2 linked regions of the Coturnix japonica genome follow. The protein of the gene in region 2 interacts with the protein of the main gene of each other region in a pairwise test. Links are inferred from orthologs where the notes say so. Each region holds a gene or a part of one and is shown on either strand. Other genes may lie near its edges.

Region 1 (3,647 bases), on a different chromosome or scaffold from region 2:
AAGAAGTCATTCTAGTAAGAAGTTGGCACTCAAGAGGAAAAAAAGCAGAAGTATTTTCAACATGAAAACACGAGACAGTGGAAGAAAGAAATGTTAGGAAAGGTTTACCATCTATGTAGCTTTATGTAAACTTCAGGCAAAGTGATTGGCGTACAGTTGGATGGTCTTGGAAGGTCATTGTATTGCTTCACAGAACGTAGAAGATTGTGTCTGTATTTACCTATTGCAGGCATCCTATGCGGTGTAGCTTCTTTTTTTCCCTATGTTAGAGCAATGGGACCGGTCACAATAGTGTTCGGTTCTGAGAAAACCAGTAATAATGCTGTTTACCAGGGTTACATAAAGCTACCGTAAGAAGGTGCTGCTCCCTGACATATGGCAATGTAATGTATTAACGCAGGAAGTGATTCACATGTTCATTTAGCAGTTACTGCCAGAAAAGATAGCGTCCAGGTATGTCCTTGGAAAGCATTTCAAACAGGGAAAGACAGAGGAATTGAGATCAGCTTGTGCAAGCTGCAATCCAACATGCTTCACCAAATCTCTACAAATATTAAGACAAAACTGCACAACAGTGGCAAGGATGAGTATTTTTCTTCTTTCTTTTCTTTCTTTCCTTTAAGTCAATACGGGCCGTTACAGGGCAATTCTGTAATAACCTCATTCAACCGGTAGCTACAGATCACGCTTACTGAAAAAACCTATTTTAGATACATCTTGATAGTGGAGCTACACCTAGTACGGCTCTACTGATAGAGCAGAGCTGGATTATTAAGGTATTTCTGCTACATTTATTTCCCCTAACAGGTTTTAGTTAAATTAACGGGAGAACTTTAGACCATCTCTAACTTTACATGCAGTGAGACAACCTTTAGTCACCTTAAGATTGCTGTTGTTGGCTCAGGCCAAACTGTCCAGCTTTGCTACCTTCTTCATATATAATCAAGAGCCTCTACAATGTGCAAATAACCGCCTCCAAAATGATTTTAGCCCAGGAAGCTGTAAAATGTTTTAGGACTTTAAAAATGTATATATGTTATTTCAAATGATACCGTGTACGTTTTCCACGTAATGGTTTAGTTATAGCTTAAGTTGGAGCGATGCTGCTATTCCCTGTTTCAGACTTGCACCACCTACCAGTCCGCTGTCCCATGCTATCCTCCTTTAGCGACTTCTGTTCTACTTTTGGTACATGGGAAGTCACGTTTTCAAATCCTGTTCTGCAGCTGATTGGGTACCACTGCGCCTTATGGGACGGAGGCAACTAAGTGTTGCAACCTTTGCAGGAAGACAACAGGAACTGGCAGCACTGGAAATGCTGGCTCTTACTATGGTGCAGAATAGCCAGACTACTTCAGTACCAGAAATGAAAGGTCCTGAAAAAATTCTGCATTAATTCTGATCAGAAGGGGGAAAAAAAAGAAGGAAAAAAAGAAGAATCACAAGAGACTTGATCACGGAGAAAGACAACACTGAAGTCTCAGTCTAGTTTCATGATGGTCTGGACACTGGAATGCCACTCACTAACCAGTTCATCTGTGCAACAAAACCAGCACTTCACAGACATGGCACAAACAACACTGAATCTGGAAACCATGTTCTATGCTGATGATTAGTGCAAATTCCACACCGTTTGCATGGCACGGTGGATTTCCAAATCACTTGCATGAAGCAGCTACGTTCATTGAGCTCATTCATTCACTGATTTGAGGTTACTAGAATTTAAAATTCTGCTCCTATTTTTACATGAAATGGGCGCATGGAAACATTTCAGGCCACCCTTGAGGGGGAATAAAACAAACAAACAAACACACAAAGCAAATGGTATTAATTTGATGTATAATTTAGGATTCAGCCAGACCTAATCCTCAGGATAACTTGTGGATCCATGGATGAAGTAACCTAAGAATTTGAATCAGCTTATCTATTAAGGCTTTCTAGTATATCCCGGAGACGCTAAGGGTGAAATCCTGTCCTACTGAACAAAGCTACCTGAACATTTACCACTGGGGGCTCAGGAGAGCTCAGATTTCACCTGGGCATCTTCAGACAGACAAAGTTAAGTGAAAGTTTTAAAGCAATGCATTAACAGCAGGAAATCGATCTAATCACAACTTTGACTTTTTCCATTGCCAGATGTGCATTAGTGTCTTTTTTTTTTTTTTTAATATAATTTTTCTTTTTAATAGAAAAAATAGAGTATTTAAGGAGTGACTGAGACAAATTGCAGTGAAACTTTTTTCTGTGTGTGAAAGTTTTCTCTTTACATTCAATAAAGTTGATCTGAAATGCTACAAGACTAGATGCCTAGGAGCGAAAACTACAGGAAGACTATAAAGGCTTCTGGTCTCTCTATATTGCAGTCAGTCTAAAGGAAAAGGAACTCTGAAAATAAAATATTCTTCGCTAACGGGTCTGTTTTCCCAACCAGATTTAGACAATAAAAGAATAGGAAAAATTCAGGGGGATGTCAGAACGTGTGGAGCATCGTTTCAGTCTTTTGTGTACACACGGAACAAAAGTTCACCATCAATAAGCAAAATAGGAAGTTAGCGACTGTGCATGCACCAAAGAGTCCTAAGACAGCTCTCGGGTTTTTGTGTGGGGTTTTTGTTTCTCCTTTGTTTTTCTTTCTCTTCACAGGCATTGCTAGTTCAAGAACCAACACTCAAAGAATACTGGCACTTTAAGAGGAATGAAGTTTCCACTGTCATTAAAAACAAGCGTTCAGGTAAAGCTAACAGGATCATGAAGCAGAAAGTAAAGTAATGCTAAAAACAAATGCTAATAATTTAGTGTAATGTACAAAAATTACTTCAGTACGTCTTAAGAATAAGGATACATTGTATTTACATAATTATACACTTTGTCTTCTTTTTCTTCTTTTTACCATCTTTGCTCATCTTCTCTTTGTGTTTTCTGATTTCTCGAACTAATGTATAGAAGGCATCATCAACACCCTAAAAAGACACACAGATGCACATGTTACAATGGCTTTAACAGACTCGGCTGCCTGCTTATATACAGCCTCATTTCACCTGAGCTGACCAGGTGAAGTGTTTTCAATCAGCAGCCTGCTCCGTATCAGGAGGCCGTGTCAGGAGAGCTGACACCACGCTCTCCTCACTGAGGCCTCTACAACACCCCAAGAGCAGGCTGTGGGTTGTAGGAGTTGCCAGGACACCAACACACCCTCTTGAGCATTCCTGGACTTTGGGAATGGGCATGTTGGAGAACACTGAGATGGTGGGGGGACTGCAGCTGTCTCCTGCTGCATGAGAAATACACATCTGATGGCATCGCTGTGCACAGCCCTGTAGGAGAGCAGCTCTAGGTGGCCATTGTGTGAGCAGTTCCTCCTGGCTGCAGGCTGAGGATCAGCCACCTGAATGAGCCACGTTTAGGTTATAAGGATGTATATAGTACTACCGCTGGATTTCAGAGTAAAGCTCTGAGGCAATTGTTAGCTTTGCTTACGCTTAAATCTAGACATAGCTTTAAAATACAAACAGGACAGCAGGAAATCGGTACCAAAGAGACAGATATGACTCATCTACTTATTCAGGTCCGTTGTCAGGCATGCTAACACAATAATCACACCACAGGTTTCTTTAAAACTCTACATAAACAAATCATTCAGATCAATC
Region 2 (4,275 bases):
AAACAAATGGCCATAGCAGAGCCAGAGAAGGATTGTGGGGCCCTGGAGCAGCACAAGTGGAGCCTGTGGGGCCGGGAGGGCTGAACAAGATTCCAGTTTCCAGGGCTGCTAATCTGTGATTACAAACCTGCTAAAACCTCAGTGAGGTCCCAGTCCCGGAGGGTTTCCTGCCCTATGGAAACAGGGCATGCAATGCAAGCCTTATCCAAACACATGGTGAAGCTCTTTCCAGCTCCTCTTAACGATATCAAACAATCATCAGAAACCCCTCCCACCTCCTCGCTCCCTTCCTGCACTCACATCCCAGCCAGCTCCCTGCTTACCCAACCCTTCTGGCTGGGAGCCATAAGCAGGTCCCTCTCCAGAAGCAGGGACAGATGATGTCCATCCTGCAGATTGCACAGGGCATATCAGATGGTGCCTCGGGGAGAACAGGCTGCGAGAGAAAAGGATCCTCTTCCATTGGAAGTGGAAAGAAAATGGCTTTTAAGTGAGATCTTTGCCCCTCCTTCCCAGCTGTAAAGCACCAGCACTGACCTCCCAAGCATCTGGGCTGAGCAATTCAAGTTTTCGAGGACGTGTTTAGCAACTGAGAATTCTCCTAATTGTTCGGAAAACAAACAGAGCCAAAATAGAAACAATCCAAGAGTTTTCAATAGGCATCAGCCCTCACTGCTCGCAGGGAGGTTGGGCAGTGCCAGCCCCAGTCTGGGCCATCCATCTGCAGCTGTGTGTGCAGCATGGAGCAGGAGGACCCCCAAACTCACAGTGCTGATTTGGGCTGGACTGGAAGCAGGAAGGTCCAAGCAAAAGGCATGCAAAAAAACCCAATTGGTTTAAACCTGCCATTCCCCACAGTTAAAACCAGTTCAAGAGCCCTTGGACCTCCAAGCAATACAGGAGGGGGAGGAACTGAATAATCCACCTTCTACTCCCCAAATCCATCTTGCAGAGTAACCTCACTCGAGGCTTATAAGCCAGGCTGCTGCCAGCACAGTTGCCACAACAACTCGACTTATTTTTCATCCCCTTTCAGCATGCCTTTCCCCAACTGCGTGCTGCAATGACAGCAAGCAAATCCTGCTGCACGTGAGTGCTATATCCCACTCTAGAATGTGCTTTTTGGGGCTGCTCTGCCCTCACACCGCCACATCACAGCCCAGAGCAGACATCTCCAAGACATGGGCATGGAGGGGATGGCTTGATGGTTGGGCTTAATGATCTTAGAGGTCTTTTCCAACCTCAATGATTCCATGATCTGGGCACACTCCCAGAGGCCAACCCAACACCAGTTAGGGCCATAACTTTGCTCTCAGCAGTTTTGCAGCCCCATTCTGCCTCCTGTGGGGTGCATGGGGTGGTTGACCCCAGGGGGAGAAGCACAGGAGCCCCCATTCTGCCCCCCTCCCTGCTCCTCCTGCATCCCTTCCAACAGTGCAGCCCCGTGCAGCCTCCCGGAGCGCAGCGGGCCGCAGGGGCTGGACTTCCTGCCAGACATAACATGAACCAGATGATGTGCTGCGAACAATGTCAGCACACCCACCCCCAGGAGAGAGAAGCAGGGGGAGAAGAGGAGGGGGAGGAAGAGCAAGCTGGAGAGGGTTTCCATGAGCTGACAAATCCCTGCTGCCAGGGCCAGAGGTGAAGCGATAGGGCTGGAGCCAGCACTGATCCCTTCCCATACATCCTGACCAGGAATTTCCACTGTGGGTTAATGGGGTAGGAATGGGATCGCCATGCTGGATATCTGCACAGAACTCAGTAGTTCTGCAGGGCGCACCCTATTCCCCCCCACCCCCCTCAGTAGCATCCAGAGCCACGAAGCACATCTGCAGCTGGCTCTGCACCCAGCCCAGCCCCTGACCCTGCCGATATTAACCCCTGTGCCTCCAGCCTGCAGGGCTCCGTGATGCTGGGAATGCCCGAACCTGCCTCCCAGCATCGCTCGTTCCAAATCAATGACATTCCTGGCACGCAGAAGATGATCACCCATTCCGAAGAAAAAAGCCAGAGCTCTGACTCACGTTATTTTGGGTGTCTCAGCTTCCACCTCCATGCAACAAACTGCTCGGGCTCAGCAGCCCGGGGTCGAACCCAAAGCAACACCAACATTTTGCATCCTCCAGCACAGCCTTCCTGATAGCCATAACCTTCCCAGAGGATACTTCTGTGGTTTGGACGAACCCAAAGTCCTTAAGGACAGATCAGAGCAGTTCCCTGCCTGCAGCAGCTGAGATATTAACAAGAATAAGACCCAAAAAAACCTTGTTTTGAGGTTTATCCCCTTCTCCCGTTGTTTAAAGGAAGGGCAGCCCTTTGCAGAGCCCGGTCTGGCATCCTGCCCACCGCTCAGAGCAAAAACACCAAGCAGGGCCACTCGCTTATTTAATAAACGAAACGAAACAACGCCGCGTTGTCCCACAGCTGTCCCCGTACTTAACTCCGGGAGCTGCACCGCGATCCTCCTGCACCGAGCTGAGCCCCGACTCATCACAGCAAGACCCCAGCCCCCCATATCCCCCATCCTCACCTCAAGCGGCGGCAGGTCGGGGTCGAGCTGGGTGAAGCTGTGTAGCACTACGGGGCTGCTTTCCCCGGCCACCTCCAGCCTCACGCCGCCCCACAAGCTCCGCGCCCGCCGGCAGCCCTCGAACATGTCGGGGGCGGGCGGGGCGGCATGGTGCCGGCGGCTCACCATGGGCACCGCCACCGCATCCCCGGGTCGGCCCGGGGGGACCGGGATCCCGGGATAACCGGGGACCCGCACCGCCACCGCCCCCGGGATGGGAGAGCGGCTGCCGAAGGGAACAGCGGCGGAGCGACCCGACGGCACGGAGGGGCCGGGCTGAGAAAGCGGAGCTTGGATTTCCTCCCCCGCAGCCTCCGCCCGCCCCGGGGGTTGGACCGGCCCGGCTCGGCCCCCGGAGGGAAGGCGAGGGCGGAGGGGGCAGAGCTTCAGCCGGGAGCTGCGGGGGAGTGCGGGATGGGGCAGAGCGGAGCGGAGAGGAAGGGGATGGAGGTGGGCGGCAATGGGAGAAGCCGTGCAGGCTGGGACGCTGGCCCTGGAGGAGGGTCTTGGTATCGCCTAGTGTTCACGTAGCTTCTAACATCAGATCTGGGGTTCAGAGAGCACCACCTCGAACCCACCGCTAAGTATTAACCCAGTGATGCAGCCAGGCTGCTTCCCATCCTACAAGCTCAGCCCCCACGGTGCCATCTGTGCTCAAAGCACCGCCCAGCCCCAGAACATTTATGGGGGGCTGCAGTCACGGACCCCTGGGCCCCTTCCTGTACCATGGGGGACAGTAGGGTACACAGCAGCGATGTGTGGCCCTGCAGGGATGCACGGAAAGGGGAACTGGGCTGGGGGGCAGCAGGGCTGCCGATCCCACTCTAAAGCGTCTCTGAGTTCTCAGGCTGATGCCGAAACATCACAATGTAACTGTTCTCAGAGGCACAGAGAAACAAACAGAGCCGTTCCACACTTTCTGCACGCACTGAGCTCAGCATCCTCTCACCCTTCCCTGCCCCTTCTCCTTCCCTGCCGATTAATGCATGGCAGCTGCTGCTGACACCACCAAAACCCAGACGCTTACGCCTCAGCTCCCAGCACAGCTGAAATAACAGCAGCCTCCCAGCCGTGCAGCCCCGCGGCTTTATTTCCAATGAGAGCATAAATACAGGGGCTGCACATCCAGCTCTGCCCAGGGCACCTCCTGCCCGGGCAAGAAAGGATTAACAAAGCTGAAATACTCTTCAACTTGAAAATGTATCAGGCAGGAGGATGAGGGAGGACAATGAGAGTTATTGTCCTGCTTATCTGGAGCTGCAGAGGGTCAACGGGACCTCCAGGGCTACAGTATGGGAAAGGAAATGAAGCCCTGCACAAGGGCTGCACGCAGCCCCACACCTTTGGGATGATCTATGGGGTGATGCCAATCCTGACCCTGCATGCCATGCAGCATTGCGTGATGCAGCAAGATGTGCTCTGCAGTGCAATGGGTCGCATACAGAGCTCGGTGCATGCAGAGGTCAGGCACCTCCAGAGCAATCAGTGCTGCCCTCAGGGCTGAAGGGTGGTGGGGAGAGAAGCCAGGATTCAGCCCTTGGGGAGGTGAAATTGTGGCCTCACAGCTGGGATGGATCAACACTGGGTGCACAGAACAGACAGCAGCACTGCTTGTCTGCAGATACAAACCCTTGCAGAACATCACAGCTTTGCCTGACCTCTATGGGAAGCTATGGAACTGTTCGATGGGTGGCATTCACCCATCC

Evidence for each region. The genes of interacting proteins can lie anywhere in the genome.
Region 1: the proteins of RALGDS (region 2) and KRAS interact in a two-hybrid assay, tested with the Homo sapiens proteins (3 studies listed by BioGRID and IntAct). The link is inferred for Coturnix japonica from reciprocal best matches to the Homo sapiens genes RALGDS and KRAS.

The regions. Positions count from the first base shown.
Region 1 is NC_029516.1:61,748,432-61,752,078, forward strand, and holds part of KRAS (GTPase KRas), read right to left. Parts: intron 2,961-3,647; coding exon 2,850-2,960; 3' UTR 1-2,849. UniProt on the Homo sapiens protein: Ras proteins bind GDP/GTP and possess intrinsic GTPase activity. Plays an important role in the regulation of cell proliferation.
Region 2 is NC_029532.1:5,350,473-5,354,747, forward strand, and holds the start of RALGDS (ral guanine nucleotide dissociation stimulator), read right to left. Parts: upstream 2,881-4,275; 5' UTR 2,699-2,880; coding exon 2,531-2,698; intron 1-2,530. UniProt on the Homo sapiens protein: Functions as a guanine nucleotide exchange factor (GEF) activating either RalA or RalB GTPases and plays an important role in intracellular transport. Interacts and acts as an effector molecule for R-Ras, H-Ras, K-Ras, and Rap.